Linked DNA regions of Ovis aries. The protein of the gene in region 2 purifies or fractionates together with the protein of the main gene of each other region. This does not show direct contact. Links are inferred from orthologs where the notes say so. Each region holds a gene or a part of one and is shown on either strand. Other genes may lie near its edges.

Region 1 (4,110 bases), about 39 Mb from region 2:
GAAATGCTTATGTGCAAAGCCAAATTCAGAGATGCTAGTCAGGATAAAGGAAACTGGTCCTTTCCCAGGATTTCTTTTTCATCGCAGTTCCTCAGCCATAAGGAAGTTAAAGTTACTTTGTACCTCTCAGTTACTGATTTTTTTTTCCCCATATGGAAAAGCTGAGTATCAGTTAAGAGAGAACACATGATACTTAGTCAGCAGCAAACTAGAATTACTGCCCTGGCAGGCTTACCACTCAGAATTTAATGAGAAGAATTCATGCAGGCACCAGATAGAAAATGTTAACTAGCTGTCCTCAGCAGAAGCCTCTGTCCCAAACTAAAAGGAAAGAGAGGCTAAGTTTTTGATCAGTTACCATGAGTCTCAGGTACAAGAAGTTTATAAGCCAACTGGTATTTTAGGTAACATAAGCACCTCAAATTTTATTATATGAATATAGATCTCTATTAGGGATAAGATGTAGAGTCTGACTGAAGAGAGTTCTAGGTAAACAGTATCTAAATCATAGCTGAGACCAATAACAGCCTTTTGACCTCACTAGAAGGCAATGGCAACCCACTCCAGTACTCTTGCCTGGAAAATCCCATGGGTGGAGGAGCCTGATAGGCTGCAGTCCATGGGATCACTAAGAGTCGGACATGACTGAAGAGACATAGCAGCAACAGCAGCAATAAGTAATGGAGAAGGCAATGGCAACCAACTCCAGTGTTCTTGCCTGGAGAATCCCAGGGACGGGGGAGCCTGGTGGGCTCCCGTTTATGGGGTCGCACAGAGTCAGACACGACTGAAGCGACTTAGCAGCAGCAGCAATACATAAAAAGTCTTTTTATAAAGCTCTGCTGCGTATTTGTAGCATAGCAAAATATCATTGACTGAACTGAAATGAGCTGAAAGACCTTTCAACAGAGCGAGATTAGCCTCAGTTCAGTTGCTCAGTCATGTCCGACTCTTTGCGACCCCATGAATCGCAGCACGCCAGGCCTCCCTGTCCATCACCAACTCCCAGAGTTCACCCAAACTCATGTCCATCGAGTCAGTGATGCCATCCAGCCATCTCATCCTCTGTCGTCCCCTTCTCCTGCCCCCAATCCCTCCCAGCATCAGAGTCTTTTCCAATGAGTCAACTCTTCGCATGAGATGGCCAAAGTATTGGAGTTTCAGCTTTAGCATCAGTCCTTCCAAAGAACACCTAGGACTGGTCTCCTTTAGAATGGACTGGCTGGATCTCCTTGCAGTCCAAGGGACTCTCAAGAGTCTTCTCCAACACCACAGTTTATTTTAAAAAATGAGCTTTTGGGGTCAATCTATCAAACAGTGCTCCTCCTCTTCTGCTTCTTATGTAACTTGGCGAGGCATCCGCCTAATATTTCTAAGCTCAAAACATTCAAGACCCATCATCAAACTTCTCCCCGGAATATGGAGAGAATGCTGATTTTAAGCAAAAGCCCCCCACTTGATTAATTTAGGCAGCTCCAATTTCCCATAGATTAAGAGTGAGGCACAGTCATCAAAGGGATGGATGACATGACTCTAGGGATTCAAAGACAATGTCTGAAAAGGACATTCTTGTGGCACAATGAATTTTATTATTGAACTTTTATGGAAACACAGTTTCCTAGCATGAAAGATCAACTGTGTTTAACTTGGGGCAAGTGAGTCAGAATTTTGGAAGTTGGTGAAAATTTTTTCTCATGCTCTGTGCCAAGTGGTCAATTCTTATTGCCACCATTTTCTGCAGAACAAAATGAGCCTCTCTTCCATTCCTTTTCCAGAATCCTAGAAACAGACTGGGTCACTGAAGTCAAACCGTTCTCATTGTCCAGCAACCCAATTCCCAGGAGTCATTTTACAAATATTCCAGGTATCTGAAATCAGGATCGCTAAGGGCAGGGCATGAAGCTTAAGACACAACCTCAACCCCAGTGTCCCGGAGTTCCTACTCGTAAAAGCGCAGGCACATTAGTGCTTTGATTTGAGCAACTCACAATTTAGAATATGTCCTCAAACATGTTTTAGAAGCAACCCCTCCCCACCTCAACTAGGGCTCTGCACCCTCGGACGAACATTCAATTCTGCCACACCCCACACGTCCGCAGCACAGGTCTGAGATCGTTAATGCTCAAATCCGGACTGGGATGTGCAAAAACTGAGGGTGTGCGGTCTTTGCCAAGCCGGGCACATGCCCACTCAGCCTTGGGGCAGCACCATTTTCTGCGGGATCAGCATCCAGAGAGCGGCTGCAGCCCCGGACTCTGTTGGCCTGTAGCAGAACACATCCCCATCCCACAGCCAAGCTAAGAGTTGAGGAACCGCCCACAGAGTGCCGGGGCAGTCTCCACCGCCGACGGAGGCAGGGGCACCTGGTTCCTCCCGCCCAGCTGAAGCAGGCAGCTGGGAGGATGCGCGCGCGCCCACCACACACCACGGGCCAGCCGGGGCGCGGGGCGCGAAGCCGGGGCTGAGCCTCCCAGTCGCCGCAGAGGGTGACCCTCCCGTCCGCCGCGAGGAAATGCAGGTGAGTCTTTTAAGTCGTTGCTAACTTTCCTCGAGTCTCAGACTCCTCTCTTGAGGGCTCGAAGCCAAGGAACCTGGGCCCAGAAAGCGCGGTTCCCCGGGGAAGCCAAGCCCTCGTCTCCGGCTCCCGCCCAGCCCGGCAAAGGGGGCCGCGCACCGAGCTGCGCCCGGGCGCCCTGGCCTTGCAGCAGGCGCGTCTGCACCCCCGTCCCGGCGCCCCCGCCACTTACCCGACGCCTCTGCACTGGCTCGCGCGCCGCGGGGGAGGCTCGGGCAGGGGTGGTGTGGTCCTGCCCGGGCGGTGGCCGGCTCTGCGCCTCAAATACGCCCGGCCCGGCACGCCTCTCCCGGGGCGGGGCCGCCACCCCGGCCGCCCGCCCGGCCGCCCCCGGCCTCTCCGTGCGAACGAGGCTGGGCGAGTCCTGGCCCCGCTGGATCCAGGACGCAGAGGAGACGCCTGACTCAGGACAGCGGTGGGTGGGACCCGCGGCCTCCATCCCCTCAACGTCCGATCGGTCCCCTCCGCAGCCGCCAGAGGTTGGGTTCACCGCCCTCTCAATAGATTCACCTGCCAAGTCCTCAGGCCAAGATAGGGAGAGTCTGCGAAGGAAGCTTTTAGTGACAGGGAGGGTCCTGTCACGTTTTTTGAGATGCTGGGTGAGAAGCTCCATGTCTTGTTTTTATTCCCGTTCTGAACTGTGATGTGGGTACACACCTCTCAGACCAGGAGCCCTAGACTGTTTTGCTGTTTGCTTCCCACTGCCTCCTCAACATCTGCCTTGTGTTTGGTAGGTCCTCAGTAAACTGGTTAAATTTGTTTAGTAAATGAATGATTAAAATAGTGAATCACTTCCTAGGAAGTCTGTTTTCTCAAAGATTAGAAAGAGTCCTGATGGAGGGGAGAGTTAAATACAAATGTACCTTTGAGAAAAGTAGGAAAAAAATAAAGCTATGGCTCTCAGAAGGGCTTCGCTGGTAGCTCAGCTGGGAAAGAATCCACCTGCAATGCAGAAGGCCCCGGTTTGATTCCTGGCTGGGGAAGACTCGTGAAGAAGGGATAGGTTACCCACTCCAGTATTCTTGGGCTTCCCTGGTGGCTCAGAATAAAGTAAAAATAACATAAAGTAAAATAAAGAATCTGCCTGCAATGTGGGAGACCTAGGTTTGATCCCTGGGTTGGGAAGATCCTCTGAAGGAGGGCATGGCAACCCACTCCAGTATTCTTGCCTGGAGGATCTCCATGGACATAGGAGCCTGGGCTGCAGTCCATGTGATAACAAAGAGTCTGACCTGGCTCAGCAACTAAGCACAGTACAACATGTCTCTAAGAAAGATTGTTACAACAAGTAGTGGTGTTTCCAAGGGGAAGTGGTATTTGTCAGTAGCATTTCACTGGGTAACAGCTGAGTAAAATGACTAAGGATGTCTTAGATACATATGTTTTTTAATTCAAATTGCCACTCACAAAAGTTAACACACAGACATAGAAAACAAATTTATGGTTATCAGTGTGATAGTGAGGGGAAGGAACAAATTAGTAATTTGGGATTAACAGATACATACTCCTAGACAAATAAGATATAAATAATAGAC
Region 2 (3,963 bases):
CATAAAAAAAAAAAAAAATTAGTCAAGGACTATAAACTAGCAAATCTACCTTGTCTCCTTACATTAAAACACACTAAACAGAAATAAGGAACTAAAAGCATTTTGGTTTCCTGCGCTCTGTAGATTAGAAGGAACAATATTTCCTGACACCGGAAAATAGCAAGTCAGTGGCTGAAGATGGTTTTCAAATGTGGGTAGAATATCATTTTAAGGGCTTTTAAAATTCTTAAGAGAATTTTCATTACCAGAGAGATCTATGTTAGAACACAGCATAAAACTAAATATATAAAGCAGTACGGTATTTCTCAAATTTTTCTACTTTAGTCCAAAAAATGTTATGACCTGTTTTATTTCATCATCTCTTTCTCACTAAACGCAATGGAAACCTCCAAGCCTGTTGACACAAATTGCTTTAGGAAGCTAAAGGTCTGCAGTGGTCAATACAAGTCAAAAGTGGCTCATGTGCTGTTCCTGACTACAAAGGCTTAATACTCAGTACATGCCATCTAAAGTTCAAAATGAAACAAAAAAAATTTATGTGGAATCAGGCCCTAAAAGCCTCTTTAGAATTCTCCACTGGACAAGGCAGCCCACTCAGATCTACCCACCCTCACCCTGACTGAGCTTAGCTACTGGAACAACTGCTTCTGTAAAAACATAAATTTTTAAAAAGAATTTTGTGATACAATATCTGAAGTCTCTTTAGGAAAGCCAATAACTAAGATATGATCAATAACTACTCCACATAAGTGACCTTAAAAGCAAACTGTCATAGTTAGACCCCCAAAGCCAACTCTCCACTAAATTTTACCATTTAGGATTCTCCTTCCTGAAAATGATTAAATTCTTTGATACTCATCCTTAACCAAAAGATACAGTTCAAGTTTGAGACAGAAAACGAGGAAGTCAAAACACAACCACTTTCCTTCTTGCCATATACCTCCAAACACACCAAGTTACTACTGCAGAGATTGGCTATGCAAACCATTATCCCAAAGGGTTCCTAAACATCTCAAACAGAGGTTCCTTGGTTCCTAATGATTATTCTATAATGGAAACGTGATCTCTCAGTATATTTTCATCCTGGACAAACAGGTCAGTAACGGAAATATTTTGTTATCTATGTTTCTACTCACCCTCAGTAACATCCTGGGGGTTAGATGTCCGGTCACTGGCTGGATCCAGTGCAACCGTTGCCAAGGAAGTGGTGGCTCCAGACATCTCACTCATAGGCTCACTACGGCTGGTTTCGGGCACACTTTCGCGGGAGCTAAATCTTACTCGGGAACTGGATCGAGAGCTGAGGTCCGGACTGGTGTCTGATAAACCTGGAATGTCATCGATCTTTGTTGGTGTCACCATGAACCGAACTGAAGCCATCTTGGTGGTGGTTTCTGGAGGATGCATTTTTATTTTTCTCTTCCTTTATAAAGACAAGGAAAAAAGAAAAACCCTGCAAAACCCTTCCTCCTTTGCAAGCTATTTCTGATTGCAAAAACAGAAAAGATAACTAAAAACACGAAAAACAACCTTCAGTTACCTTGATTTACACCACACGAAAAGCCACTACATATAAGAATCCTCCTATTCAAGAATTCAAGCTGTCCTAAAAAGTGCACTACCAACAGTTGAAAAATATTCAAAAAAAAAACAAAAAAAGACAACGATGCCAATCTCGTGTAACTTCGTTTCTTCAGAATGAAGAGATACCTAGTTATCTCCTCTGGTCCAGGGATGTGGGCTCAGGGCCATTGTCAGAAAAGCAGGTGACGAAGCCTTTCTTGCCTCGACCCTAAGGTTTAGGCCGAGGTAGTTAGTCCTTTTTTTATCTGTAAATGTCCCACGGTTAGTTGAGCAAAGTGAGCACAAGCCCACCCTTATCAGACGAATACAGCATAGATCAGCTTGAGAAACGGTGTATACCCGGCCACCTGTTGTGTATCAGGTGAATACCCCACAGGTCTGGCTGGGAGGAGGTGTGTGTACAGCCACCCGATGTTTCTGAGGCCGATAATCCACTTGGGTCTGGTGGGAGAGGTGCGCACGCATAACGGGAAAAATAATCGCACACTCCGGCTGGAGGAGAATGAGAGAAGGGTGAGCAGAGGAGGCTGCAGGGGCAGAGCGGATTTCTGCCTTCAAGAGGCCTGCGGGGCTGGCCCGCCCGCTCTTCTGGCAGAAAGGTCCCTAGGATCTGGGAGGAGGCGGCTAGCTGATCGAGACTCCGCGGACTGCAGCTCAGGGTCGAGGCAGGTCGCTGCTAGTCAGTCCATCGAGCCTCCGACTGGCTCACTCGGTTTCTCTTGCGCGTGACAGGACGAGCCACCCCTTTGCCGAAGCAGCTCTCTCCCCTACCAGAGCCCCGGCGCAAGGTCAGCCCTCGCTGTTCTTCCTTCGGGTTCTAACTGAAGAGGAGGCGGCCTCAGGCTGGCCCTGGCTGAGCCGGAGAGAGCAGCGAGGATGTGAGTAGGAGGAGGTCGCAGGTGCGGGATCTCGGCGCCAGCTGATGCGGGTGCGCGCGCAGCTGTTGTTTATGAGCCGGTAACTGTTTCCGAGCCACGGCGCGCGCAGGACGGCTGGAGCTGCCAGGGAGGGCGCCCCCTCCTTGGCCAGACGCCAGAGATGCAGTTACGTGACCTCGCCGCCCCCGGCCCCGGGCCCGGCGGGCTGGGCCCGCGCCGCCGCAGCCCCGCCCTTTCCTCCCCGCTCGTTCCTCATTCGAGGTTAACGGTCCGAAGAGAAGCCTAGGGGAGCGGTCGGAGGGCGGCACCGTCCCCACGAGCGTCTGAAAGCCCCGCCCAGTCTCTGCAGCCCGCGAGGTGGCCGAGAGGGCTGCGCGCATGCGCTCGCTCAGGTTGCGGCACGGGTTGGGCCCCAGTGTGGGAGGCCCGGAGCACGACGGGAATTGTAGTTGGGTGTGTGGGGGCCTCAGCTGCGTGTATTTGGAAAAACAAATGCTTTTCCTTCTAGGTCCTGCTGTCTTGCACTAACTCTAGAAGTGGAAGGACTTCAGGGAGCAGTGGGTACGCCATACTCTCAGAACCGCAAAAACCATCTCTACTGAATAAGAACATCCTCAAAAAACCATTCATAATTTCTTTAAAAATCACAAATCTCACACCATCATATACCTCCAAAATATATGCTATATATTGGATATGACCCTCATTGGAGTTTTTATGTAGTGGTATATCCCAAAGAATTGTATGCTCAAATTTATACATAATGTGTGCTACATTTTCTATTTGCAGTCTTTCGGAAAAAATGCTGGTTTCTACAGGTATACACCTATCAAATATTCATATTGTACACGTTACATATATACAATTTTGTGTTTTACCTCAGACTGAAAGCTCCGTTAAAAAAGCCATCTTTTAGACATGAAGATGACATTGAGATATTGTCTCTTGACGCCAGTGTTTTCTCTGCTACTGCCACCATATTTTCCCTAGCATGTTTATTTAATGCGTGAATAGGTGTTCAATAAATTTGACTTATCAATGTTTTGTTTGCAAGTTATTTCCTAGAGCTGTGATCAAGACTTTTTCTTAATTTTAATTTTTCCTAACTTTATTTATTGACATATAGTTCATTTATAATGTGCAATCTTTGCCGTACAGCAAAGTGACTCAGTCATACACATATTTTAAAAAATATTTTTTTCCATTATGGTTTATCACAGGATACTGAATATAGTTCCCTGTACTATATGTAGGGCCTTGTTTATCAAAAGTCATTTAAAGTCAACAACCTGGGGCCTGACTTTGCCTGGTCCTTGCTCAGCACAAGTAGAAATGTTTAACATCATCCTTAATAACAGATGAGAACAGTATTGAAGACCTGAGCCAGGAAATCTTTTATTACATGACACAAAGTCCACAGTCTGGTTTAAAAGCTACAGGTAACAAAATGTAAAGTAGATTCCTATTTAAAATGTAAATCTCCTCAAAGCTTGATTCTTTA
Region 3 (4,151 bases), on a different chromosome or scaffold from region 2:
TGACCTAATAAAGTGGGAGGAGTCTTCAGGGCCTTAGAGCTCCCTGCCAGAAAGAATCAATGTGGCTAATGGCAGTGCCTTTTCTCCTAATGACCATGTTCAAAGGGCTCAGAAACCATGATCCCAAACGACTAGCCTGGCATTCCCACCAGGTCACCCAACCCAGCCATAATCCTGGCCAGAGTTTGGTAACCACCACCTCCTAGATTAAAGATTCCCAATTCTTGGCTTTCCCAATTCAAGGTCACCTCATTTCCCAATGGCATGTTAGTGACCGGGAACAGGAGACACGAGTTTCAGTCCCAGAAGTGTTAGCAACTCACAATAGACCTCTGGGTCCACACCCTATCCTTATAAACATGCTGGGCTTCCCTTATAAACATGGGGGCTCACGCTCTGAGGGCTTCAGCTCTTGTTTCTGTGATTTTAGGTGCAAAGGTGGTTTGCAGAGCTCATCAGGGGCCTCAGCCCATCAGAGGTTCTGAGGGAGCCCAGAGTTTTCACTCAAATACACCAGATGCATTCTCCTCACCAAACCTCCTTCACTGAAGCATATTCAGACTTGGAATAAAACTGTGTTTACTGACAACCTCTCAGGGTCCAGCCCTTTGAGAGACACTGAGGAAACATGAAGGGGTAAGAAAACGACCCTCAGGCAACCATCTTACAGAGACAGAAACTAAGGCTCAGAAAGGCTTCGAAATCTCCTCAAGGGAACACAGCTAAGAATTCAACTCCCAGGGCTCTAGCACCGGTTGGATTAGCCCTGTAATGTGAAGACCAATCCCTCTACTCCCAAATCCCTTTAGGCACAAGAAAAAGTTAGTTTTGTGAAACTGGAATCTACTAAGATCAGAAACTCAAAAGTCCAGGACACAGGGCTGGCTGGCTGAGTTCATCTTGCTCAGAAATGCCCAGCTTGGCCCTAAAACCCATGTCAGAGCTTGGCCACCTTCTGACACCCTTCTCGGAGCCATCCCTGCATCCCAGCTAATGAGCAGCGGCAGGCAGGCGACTGTCATGTGACCTCCACAAGCAATATGTACACACATATCACAGCAGCACCTGGAGCTCACCAGGTCCTCCCAAGATTGTGTGTGTTGCGGCCCCTTGTACAGACAGGCACTAGACCAGGTGAACCGGACTGGTTTGTAGAGCTACAGCTGGTGGTCCTGCCTCCAGAGACAGCCTTCTCCCAGAGCAGGTCAGGGCCCAGCCTGTCTCCCCGCAGCCTCAGGTGAGAGGCCTCTGCAGGGATGCTCTGAGAACCACTCCTTCCTACAAGTGTCAGAGGCTCCATGCTCTTCAGGCTGGTCTTCCCTCCTCAGGACTAACCTGGCTTTCAGAGACGCTTTCCCCGGGGGAGCTACCAGACAGCAGGAAAGCCGTTTGTCTCCTCGTCTCCCTGGCCCCTGGCCCGCTGCCACGGTGGCCTCCCCTCCCCCAAGAAGGGCGGTGAGCTGGGAGGTGGGGGTTGGAAGAATCCGCCGAGAACGCTCTTGGGAGGGGTGCTGGGAAGCCAGGCAGGGCGTGTCGCCTGGTCCTTTCTCTGCCCAGCGCCGGGCTTCGCGGCTCTCGGTGCAAGGCGCCCCGGTTCCATCCCCCAAATCTGCCCTGCACTGGGGACCCCCTGCTGTCATCGCTCAGACCCCTGAGCCCGAAAGCGGCTAATACACAGCAGCGAAGGGCGACGGGTCTAGAACATTCGGTGCCCAGTCGGACGTAAGTCAGGGGAGGTGGGCGCCCTGTTCCCCGACGATCTGCACCTGCTCTTTTCAGAAGAGACAGATGTCGGTCTTCTCGCCGCGGCCGTCTGCCCCAGGGCCTGGACGTGTCTGCAATTACGGTTCCCGTCAGGGGCCCCAGGGAGCCCCTCCGGTGCCGCGGTTTGGGGAGCGGCCAGACGCCAGTGCCGTCTCGTTCTCTAAAGAGGTGCAATCGCCCTCCCTGCGACCCTCATCGGCGCCCCGCCACCTGCGCGGTCGCCCGCAGCCGGTGCCGCAGTGCGAGCGAGCCAGCGAGCCCGGAGCCTTCACGCCCGCGGCCGGCGCCGCCGAGCGAGCCGCCGCCCTCCGGTGTCCCCGGCGCGCCGCACCCCGAGCCCCCACCCCAGATCCCACCCTCGCCCCCACCTCTGGCCCCAGCGCCTCGTCGTCCCTTACGCCTGGAGCCTCCCCTGCCGGCCCCTCCGAGCCGGCCACGACCTCCCCATCCCCAAACCTCTTCTCTACCCGGGCACCGAGGGGCCTTTTCGAGCCGAGGTCGGGGTCCCAGTGGGGTGGATGATTTGGCGGCGGGGGTGGGCTCGACTCCAAACCCGGGGAATAAGCGGGGTACTTACCGCTCTGCTCCCCCAGGAAGACCAACTTGAATTTTCTCAGTGGGTTTCCAAAATCTCCCCCTGCGGACATGGTGCTGGCAGCTGGGGCTGGGAGAGGAGGAGGAGGAGAAGCGAAGGAGCAGGGAGGGGAGAGGAGGAGGGCGAGGGGAGGCGGCCGGCGGTGCGGGAGCCGGAGGGGGAAGGGCTGGCTGCGCGCGTCCCTGGCTCCCCAGCTGCGTCCCGGCCCCGGCCTGCGGCTGCGTGTCCGGTGGCGGAGGAGGAGGAGAAAGATAAGGAGGAGGAGGAGGAAGGATGGGGCTGGGCGGCCGCAGGCGGCGCTTGATGCGGCGCGCTCTGGACGCCCGAGGCGCGGCGCAGACTGCGAGGATCGGGCGGAGCGGGGCTCAGGCGCGCGGGGCGGAGGAGCGCTCTCCCGAGCCGCACCAGTCGGCCCCCCTCCCGCCTTGCTTCTCCGCCCGCGCCTGCGCTCTGCGCGCTCCCTAGCCTCTGATGTCATGCGGGGCCCGTGGCGCTGCGGGGCTGAGGGGCGTCAGTCCACCCACCCGGAGCCCGCACTCGGGCGAGAGAGGGTCGCTCAGCCGTTCCTTGAAGAGGCTACCGAATCGGACCCTCTCTCATTGCCCCACTGCGTCTGTCTTCCCCACTCCATCTCCCTTTTGAATGCAGAAAATGACGTGAAATTGTCAAGGGATATTTGTTAATTAAACCTAGATGTTACCCCTTCTTTCTACCCCTGCGACACTGATACACACAGCCCAGCCATCCGAGAGGGTGAAAATGAAAGAAGTCAGGGCGGGGGGCGGGGGGCGGGGAGCGGGGGGGAGGGTCGGTGAGCCAGGGTGTGGTGGACCGTGTGGGCGCAGACCGGCTCTACTGGCATCTTGTACGTGTGTCTGGCCCTCCCTCCTCTCTTCTCTCCAGATCCCTCCTCTTGGGCCCCTCTGTAGAGTCATAGGTGTCCCCCCCACCCACCCACAGACATGCCCAACTGGAGAGGAGCTCCGATAAAAGGAGCACCCTGCTTCAACCGCTCCTAAGCACCACTTTATCCTAAACCTAATGACCCGTGGGAGAGAAGAGGAACGAGGCCCCGAATGTCAGCTCCTCCATCTCCAGGATGGATCCCTGGATCCCTGGACCTTGGGATCTCTGGGCTGACACCACCACTCCTTGCCCTGGCAATTAGACGTATCTGGACAATGAGCTCCCAGAGGACAGGAGGGAGACCTCCCATTTGCCTTTACATTCACCTGACCTGTTAAGGCACACAGATAATTTGTGAGTGGGTGAGAACAAGGAGCAGGTGCCAGGCATTAGATGCTCTCCCAACCGGGTCCTAGCATTCTGGGTAACTGAGGTTTCACCAAGCTGCTTCTGCTGTGCTGCAGGCAGGTGGTCTGTTCTTTTAGGGCCGTTCAATGAATGTTCATTTGGGATTATACCCTAGATGTTAGGGAACAAGTTTGTGTGTGTGTGTGTGTGTGTGTTTCATTCAGAGAGAAAGGTGAGAAGCAACCTTCATCTCTGGAGTTTTCTAGGGGGCATTTGTTGCTCTTTTTGACTTACATAGCTGGCTTGGAATGTCTTCCTGTCTGACTCCCTGGTTTATTACTTAGAATCTTTCTCTCATTGCTTATTAAAAACTATAGGATGAGTTCCAGATCAGCAGTTGAGTCTCCACTGCTGAATCCCAAAGACTTAACTTTGAGCTTAGGAAATAATTGTTGAATGTTTGGGTGAATATCTAGAACCCAAGTCAGTACAACTGTTCCACTTATTGAAGAGACTGTGTTTTCTCCATTGTATATTT
Region 4 (4,094 bases), on a different chromosome or scaffold from region 2:
GAATTTCTGGGTTTCATCTGAATTATATTTTAAAAAGTTTTAAGGAGATTTTTATATGTAAACAGAGGAGACAAAGTATCACGATCTCTTTTTTCTTTAAAAAAAAAAAAAAAAAAGCTCATTTTTCTTATCCAATAGTCCTCATCACGACAACTACACACGATAATTTTGGCCCAATGATCATTATGACCATTGGGTCACTGCACAGTTTCAGCTCAAGAAAAGGATGGTGCAATCGTGGTCATCTCTACCAGGGGAAACACAGAGAACACTCAGTGTTAAATATGACACCTATAATTAGGAAGACCTATGGTTATACCAGAGCAGTTTTAAGGATGAGGTAATTTTAGGAGCGTTGAGAAAGCAGCAATTAATTAAGTTTTCAACGCAGCTTGTGGTGCGGTACATTCTTTGACACCCAGTTATGCTCTGTAAAAGAAATGCCAGCTATCTCTTGACCTATCGGGTTAGGGTGGCTTTGTTATTACGGGTCTAAAATTTGAGATTTAGAGTTCAAATCTCTTACACTTAGAAAAATCTAACTTTTTAGGCCCTTACAACACCTCCCTGGGATCCAAGTGGCTTGGAACTAATGAAGTCTATGAACAGCCAGAGACCTAAGGCATCACGTTTCACTAAGAAAAAAACCAGAAGGTCTGCGATTAGATTAGGCAAGGTGGGGGAGAGGGTTATCGGCAGGTAGGGCGCCGGAAAGTTACAACTCGGGTTATTTTTTAACCGGCGCCCTACAAACGGCCGGCGTGTAGGTGGCTCACTCGCTAACTTGTAAATGAACTTCAGGTTCTCTTACTTGGGGAGACTTTCTGAATCTGAGAACCTGGCGGCGGTTCAACGACCCCGCCCTCGGGGTCCCCAAGGGACATCTTCCGGAGAGCCCGATTGTCTGGGGCGAAGGCTCAGGGAAAGCAGGGAGTGAGGGGGCGAGGGACGCGGGTCCCGAACGCCAGCCCAACCCGGCCTCACTCCCCTCGGGTGGAAACTTCCCGGCAGCGAGAGAGGCGGGAGGGGGCGGCGGGGCGGCGGGGCGGCGGTTCCCCTCGCGGAGGCAGAGAACTGCGCGCGCGAGGCTCGGGACGCGCGGCGAGCGCGGCGACCGGGCCGCCTCCTCCCCTCCCCGCCTCCGCCGGCGCTGCCTCCTCCCTCCGCCCGGCTCGGCCTCCCTCGCTCCCTCCCCTCGTGGCTGGCTCCGGCGGCGGCGGCGGCGGCGGGCGCGGAGGGCGTGCGCCGGCCGAGAGGTGTCGGTGGCGAGGAAGGGAAGTTTCAAGTGGAAGGTCGTCCGCCGGCTGGCGCGTCCTCCCGATCTCCTCCGGCAGCATCATGGCGGAGCCGAGCGGCTCGCCCGTGCACGTCCAGCAGCCCCAGCAGGCGGCCCCGGTGACAGCGGCGGCCCCGGCGACAGCGACAGCAGCGCCGGCTCCGGTGGCTCCCGTGGCCACGACTCCGGCCGCGCAGTCGATCGGCTGGCCCATCTGCAGGGACGCGTACGAGCTGCAGGAGGTTATCGGTCAGTGCGGCGGGCGCGGCGGGGCCGGTCCAGGCCGGGCGGGAGGTGCGGCAGGCGACGCGGGATGCTGGGCTTGTCTGCATGCACGCCCTGGAGGCAGAGCGGTCGGCTTCTGGGCCTACCGGCTTCAACAGTTTTTTTTTTTTTTTTTTCATTCTTTCGGTGAGCGCGGGTGCTGCAGGAGGTGGCGCGGCGGATGTGACTCGCACTGCAGACGAGCCGCATGCTGCAAACTTTTATCTCCCCGATCGCTGGGGCGGCGGAACTGGGGACCCGGCAACGCCGCCGCATCTCCCTCCTCCCGCGTGCCGGGCCCGCAGCCTGTGGTCGGTGGCCGCGCGAGCAGGCAGCCGCGGTCGGGGTGGGGTTGCGGGGGCGCCGCCCTGGTCTTCCAGCGCCCCCGCGCCGCGCCGGGGGGCCGCGCGTCCTGGGGGACTTAACCGGCGCAGCCGCGCCTCTGCTCTCTAGCTCCGCACCCCAGCTTCCCATCAGCAACCTCTCGCCATGGGTAACCGGGCTACGTAGGAGTTCCAGGGGCCCAGGTTCTTTCCTGAGGCCAGGGAGGATGCTGGCCTCCCTTCCTGACAGCCCCAGCTCCACGCCCGCCTTGCAGCCTGGCTTTCCGCGCCGCCCGGCGCGCCCGGGTACCCGCCTCTCGGTGCCCGGGCGCGCCTCCTGCTGCCCAGCCCGGTCGCCCGGAGAAAGAAGGCGCCCTGGCCTCCTGCCCTGTGCTGGGCCGATGCTTCCCCTCTGGTCCAGGGCCGAACTGCATGAGTGAAAGCCGAGGCTCTCGATGACCTGCTGCTTGCCTGTTGGTGCCTTCTAGTTGGCTCACCAATATCCCCTTATCTTAGATTTTAAAAAACCTGGCCAAGTCGAATGGCAGGAAGCCGCCGTTACTTTTCCCTGGGCCAAGCACGTGAAGGACCAGATTTGTGTTGACCGTTGTTGGATCATCTCGTCTTGTTAAACCCAGTTAGGGCACCCTCCAGATAAAGTGGGCCCTCATTATTGGCGGTGGGATGGGATGCTGCCTTCTCATATCTTGATGTTTAAGTACATGATGAGAAAGGAATTCAGGATATTTATTTTAAACTTTTTCCCCTTCTTTTCATTATAAAGAATGTGGCCCTCCCTCCCTTTCTTTAAAAAATTAAAACCGGTAATAAGAATTTCATTAGGTGTTTACCCTTTATCGCCTGCTGCTGTAGGAATGGAACATAGCATAGATTGAAATAAATAGACCAATGACTGGCAGAACAGTAACCTAGGATATGAAAGCAAAATTCTTCGAAAACCCATGCCTTTTATAACTTTTTGCCAAAGACTCTCCTAATATGTCTTCCTGTCACTGCATGAATTATGTATCTTCAAGGGGTTTTTTAAAGCCTGTTCAGTGAAAACTCCTTTCACCTGCTAGCTAAGCCCCTTCATCTTCCCAGTTTTACCGTCTGCTCTCAACCTACTTGCCCCCACTGGTATTCTGGTTGCACTGACTGCACACTGAATAGTCAGCTGTCCTGGCCTTCCATTCCTTGCTGTCTTTCACAGGCTCTTCTCTAAGTGCCCATCTTTGTAGTTAACCTCACTCAGCTTGCGATGAATGTTCTTAAGTCGCCTTCTGCTTCTTCCAAGGCAAAGTATGGTGGCTTTTTCTGTTCCTTTTTTTATATGGCTCACAGCATGTAATCCCATAGTTTTTATTTGCGCAACAGAATCTAAAGGCCTACTCTTTCCCAAGCATTGTGCTAGGTTTTTGCATTTAGAAATGAATAAAATGGTCCTTGCCCTCAGGGCTTCCCAAGTTTAAGTAACTGATTCTATAGGATGTCATGAGTGAGTACTGGTGGAGCATAAAGAAGGGACTAACTGCTTGCTTGGAGAAATGAGGAAGCAGAGTATTCCGCAGAAGACATCTGAACTGAATTTTGAAGTCTGAATAAGTTTATAAGTTGCTTGATTATTTCCATTGCTGCTTTTCCTTGTCAGCTGTGAACTCCTTTAGGGTCTTATTTATCCCTCTGACTCCAATACATAGGGATGGTCCATAAAACTTAATTGATGGTAACCTGCCACATGTTTCCATAGGCCCTAGGACCAGTATTTACTTACAATCAATTTCTATGCTTATTTTGTCAATTATTAGGGTCAGTATGCAAGTTTGCAATATGGAAGACAATATGCTTGCCTTTTGAAAGCAGTGTTTGAGTTGACCAGTTTTATGAACTGAAATGAATAAAATCTTAGTTTAATTAAAGAGACGGGATTGATTTCAGGGCTTCTTTCTGCTTGCAGTAGCAGCATTGTTAATTATGGTTGGTCAGTTTCATTAAAAAAAAAATTTACCTGAGGAATTTGCCAGCAGAAATGCCTGTTTATTACTTCTATGCTGATTTTTGTATATTCACACTGCAGGAAGGGTTTTCCTACATTTAAAATTATCTCATATTTTTCCAGTTGAAAGAGGCTGTCTGTGTGGTGGCCGTGTGATTGAAAAGTCACATTGCTGCAGTAGGGTTTTCCAGGGGCTTAATGTTGTAGGGAATTACACACCCATTTCCATTTACTG
Region 5 (3,512 bases), on a different chromosome or scaffold from region 2:
CTCTTGGTTTAGAGCTTTGGTCCATGACCTCTGATATCTACTTTGATAATTTTATTATCTGTTCAGAAAAGGAAGTAGCAGACCGCTGGGCTGCAGATGGTTGGGGAGTGAAGATACTGATAGAAAATGCTAATGAGGTACACAGTATTTAGCATATGATAATAATAGGGTATCGTCCTGGTTATAGGTTATACAGATGGCCTTTTGATGAGTCAATAGATACAATAATTACTAAATGATGAAGAAACATATTTAAATCTATGTAGACAGAATATGAGCTTCACCAAATTATAACTTCATTATAAACTATATAGTGAATTATATATGTCTTCTTTTCATTTGTTAGATTATGATAACATAAATGGATTGAATGCCTTTTGATGTTTATAGAAATGAGACGGTTATTACTACTGTTAGAAATGAGACTTAATATCTTGTCACCTTATCAGTTTAAGGCCTAAGTGGGAACAGAAATCTAAATCTTTATTCATTTTAACTACTTTTCACTTAGAGGAGTATAGAAATTTTTAAAATTTAATTATTATGTTCTAGTTATTTTTCCCAAATCTTAACACTGCTTAGGAAAGCTTAAGCTAAATATTTCAACACAGTACATCTTGGAGAATCTATCTGTCTTTAAAACCAATTACCATAAAGAAAAATGTACCTTATATTAGGTTTCTTTGAATATTAGCAAAAACCTCAAAAGAGTAAATAAAGGTAAAAGGATTCTCATTTTGAAACTCTTTTAACTAAAACATTTTAATAAGGAAAACAGTTTCCTTTCTGAAAGTTGTGTGTGAAATTTGTTAAGAAATAAGAAAAAACATAGCTATCCTTAGGTTGACTTTTTTTTTTTTAGTAAGTTCTTTAAAAGTACAGAATGAGTTAGAGAGTTTACTTCTAAATGAACCAAATAATACATCCATGAAGCATAGTACTATCTTGAAACTTACCAGAAAAGGAAGCTGTCTTAATTCTTGCTGGAGAATTAGCAATATTCACTTGTATAATATAATGTATCTTCTACCAAGTGTTAAACTGCAATGCATGTGAATAATTAAAGATTGTTTAAGGGACTTCCCTGGTGGCCTGTGGCTAGGACTCAGCGCTCTCAGTGCAGGGGGCCTGGGTTTGATCTCTGGTTGGGGAAGTAGTTCCCACAGGTCACAACTAAGAACTGGCATGCCAGATAAACTTTTTTTTTTTTTAAAGATTGTTTAAACTTTACAAAGTATAAAATGAAAAATATTTTTTGCCTTATAAATTTGACTCCTTAGTAGAAAACTACCTAGGTGAAATAACTTTTTTTGTTTTCATAGGCTGTATTTATGAATGAAGGTTTATAAAATCTGAATAGCCTTTTTATGCTTATTTCTTTTTCAGCCTGGTATATTCAAACAATTGATGTCAGCTACTGAACAGCGCCCATGGCTTTGGTTCATTTACCTCTTGACAGCAGCGCTTCCAATAGCATTGATTAGTTCATTTTGTTGGCCAAGAAAAGTAAAGGTAAAGAAAATGAATTTTCTTCAACATAAAAAAAAAATCTCTTAGTGTTTAGGAGTTCAATAAATGGAGTCAGTGGTTCTTAAAAGTAATAAACTAAATTTCTTATATAAGTTTTTACTGTTAGTTCACCGTGTATGATATCAGTTCAGTTCGGTTCAGTTGCTCAGTCACGTCTGACTCTTTCCAAACCCATGGACTGCAGCATGTCAGGTTTCCCTGTCCATCACCATCTCCCGGAGCTTGCTCAAACTCATGTCCATCAAGTCGGTGATGCCATCCAACCATCTCATCCTCTGTTGTCCCCTTCTCCTTCTGCCTTCAGTCCTTCCCAGCATCAGGGTCTTTTCAAATGAGTCAGTTCTTCGCATCAGGTGACCAAAGTATTGGAATTTCAGCTTCAGCATCAGTCCTTACAATGGATATTCAGGACTGATCTCCTTTAGGATGGATTGGTTTGATCTCCTTGCAGTCCAAGGGACTCTCAAGAGTCTTCTCCAACAAGACAGTTCAAAAGCATCAGTTCTTCAGCGCATGTGTGTTACCCGTCATTGCAAAAAAAGAAAATGTTTTTTTTAATAGTGCTTTGCTTCTAGTAAAAATAGCTTATGTTAAACTACCACAGAAAAAATATGAAGATGTGGCTTTCAAAAAACTGGACATATGTAAACCACAAACAAAGGGAGCACTGGAGCAGGAAGTGAAGGAAGAGAAAGCAGCCCTGGAGAAGCCAGTTGACTTGGAAGAGGAAAAAAAGCAAAGTGATGGTGAAATTGTTGAAAAAGGTAGGACAGTGATGGCGATATATAAAGGGGACCCTGGGCAGAGCTCATTAAGAACAGTAGATTAAGTGGGAACCACTAGCTGTTGCACTTGTCTGTTGTCAGATTTATACCATCTGAATCCCCAGGAGTGCGTGACTGTGGTGAAGAGGAGTACCATCCTTGCCTGGATTGTACCTGAGCAGACATCCAGTGTATGAGCTCTCTCTTCTAGGAAGAAAGAGTTGTCAGAATTGTTCAGTTGCTTCAGAATCTAGCAGCTGTCAATCCCATAGGTCATAGCTTTTTGCAAGGGTTTTTCTTGCCTCCAAGGATGAGATGGGAGGCACAGATCACAGCTTCTGTGGAAGAGTAGTTGGTTTAAGACAGGTGTCTGCAGCAACAAAATCCACACCAAGGGCTGTTGTTTATCAGATAGTTTTATCATATCAAACCAGTAGTTTAATCTCTTCAAAGGATTGCTGAATCATATGTCCCCTCCTGCTCTCAGCTAAACTCCAGATGTTAGAACTGAAGACAGCTGCAGCTTTTTGGTACCTCTCCAGTGAGACTTCCTTATATACATCTAAGTAGCAATAAAACTATTGATGTTTGCCAGATGTCCCAAGCCAGGCTCCAGAATGAGCCCTTTATAACCTGCATTATATTTTGAGCACTATTTTTAACTTAATAGTTGATGAAACAGTTGACTTAAAAACCATGCTCTCTCAAAGCACACATATATATTTATGTATATACATACACACATATATTCTTTGATTTTCATTTCACATACAGACTGAATGCTTTAAAATTCTTTAAACCTGCCCCTTTCCTCAGATATGATGATATATTTATTGTTGTTGTTCAGTTGCTCAGTCATGTCCGACTCTTGGTGACTCCATGGACTGCAGCATGCCAGGCTTCCCTGTCCTTCATGATCTCCCAGAGCTCACTCAAACTCATGTCCATTGAGTCGATGATGCCATCGAACCATCTCATGCTCTGTCATCCCCTTCTCCTCACACCCTCAATCTTTCCCAGCATCAGGGTCTTTTCCAGTGAGTTGTGGTAAAATAACGAGTACTTGTATTTAATTTTCAAAAATGTCTAATGGAAGAAATTGCTTTCAAATATTGAAATTTAAATGTACTCCTCCACTTTTACTTAATACTCTTCAGTAGAAAAATTCTAATTCATTGAGTCTTTTGCCTTGAATAAAATCTGTTTAATAAAAACTTC

The links.
Region 1: the proteins of SLC12A6 (region 2) and LGALS3 purify together in Homo sapiens (affinity purification with mass spectrometry; 3 studies listed by BioGRID and IntAct, counting the BioPlex papers as one, with this or other methods). This does not show direct contact. The link is inferred for Ovis aries from reciprocal best matches to the Homo sapiens genes SLC12A6 and LGALS3.
Region 3: the proteins of SLC12A6 (region 2) and RAB6B purify together in Homo sapiens (affinity purification with mass spectrometry; 4 studies listed by BioGRID and IntAct, with this or other methods). This does not show direct contact. The link is inferred for Ovis aries from reciprocal best matches to the Homo sapiens genes SLC12A6 and RAB6B.
Region 4: the proteins of SLC12A6 (region 2) and STK39 purify together in Homo sapiens (affinity purification with mass spectrometry; 3 studies listed by BioGRID and IntAct, with this or other methods). This does not show direct contact. The link is inferred for Ovis aries from reciprocal best matches to the Homo sapiens genes SLC12A6 and STK39.
Region 5: the proteins of SLC12A6 (region 2) and CLGN purify together in Homo sapiens (affinity purification with mass spectrometry; 3 studies listed by BioGRID and IntAct, with this or other methods). This does not show direct contact. The link is inferred for Ovis aries from reciprocal best matches to the Homo sapiens genes SLC12A6 and CLGN.

The regions. Positions count from the first base shown.
Region 1 is NC_056060.1:65,677,866-65,681,975, reverse strand, and holds the start of LGALS3 (galectin-3), read right to left. Parts: upstream 2,810-4,110; 5' UTR 2,748-2,809; intron 2,519-2,747; exon of another isoform or gene 2,366-2,518; intron 1-2,365. UniProt on the Homo sapiens protein: Galactose-specific lectin which binds IgE. May mediate with the alpha-3, beta-1 integrin the stimulation by CSPG4 of endothelial cells migration.
Region 2 is NC_056060.1:26,490,567-26,494,529, reverse strand, and holds the start of SLC12A6 (solute carrier family 12 member 6), read right to left. Parts: upstream 2,801-3,963; 5' UTR 1,541-2,800; exon of another isoform or gene 1,424-1,540; 5' UTR 1,408-1,423; coding exon 1,137-1,407; exon of another isoform or gene 1-1,136.
Region 3 is NC_056054.1:256,108,094-256,112,244, reverse strand, and holds the start of RAB6B (ras-related protein Rab-6B), read right to left. Parts: upstream 2,812-4,151; 5' UTR 2,412-2,811; coding exon 2,342-2,411; intron 1-2,341. UniProt on the Homo sapiens protein: The small GTPases Rab are key regulators of intracellular membrane trafficking, from the formation of transport vesicles to their fusion with membranes. Rabs cycle between active GTP-bound and inactive GDP-bound states.
Region 4 is NC_056055.1:141,119,025-141,123,118, forward strand, and holds the start of STK39 (STE20/SPS1-related proline-alanine-rich protein kinase), read left to right. Parts: upstream 1-1,283; 5' UTR 1,284-1,338; coding exon 1,339-1,525; intron 1,526-4,094. UniProt on the Homo sapiens protein: Effector serine/threonine-protein kinase component of the WNK-SPAK/OSR1 kinase cascade, which is involved in various processes, such as ion transport, response to hypertonic stress and blood pressure.
Region 5 is NC_056070.1:17,392,014-17,395,525, forward strand, and holds part of CLGN (calmegin), read left to right. Parts: coding exon 1-137; intron 138-1,386; coding exon 1,387-1,512; intron 1,513-2,134; coding exon 2,135-2,294; intron 2,295-3,512. UniProt on the Homo sapiens protein: Functions during spermatogenesis as a chaperone for a range of client proteins that are important for sperm adhesion onto the egg zona pellucida and for subsequent penetration of the zona pellucida.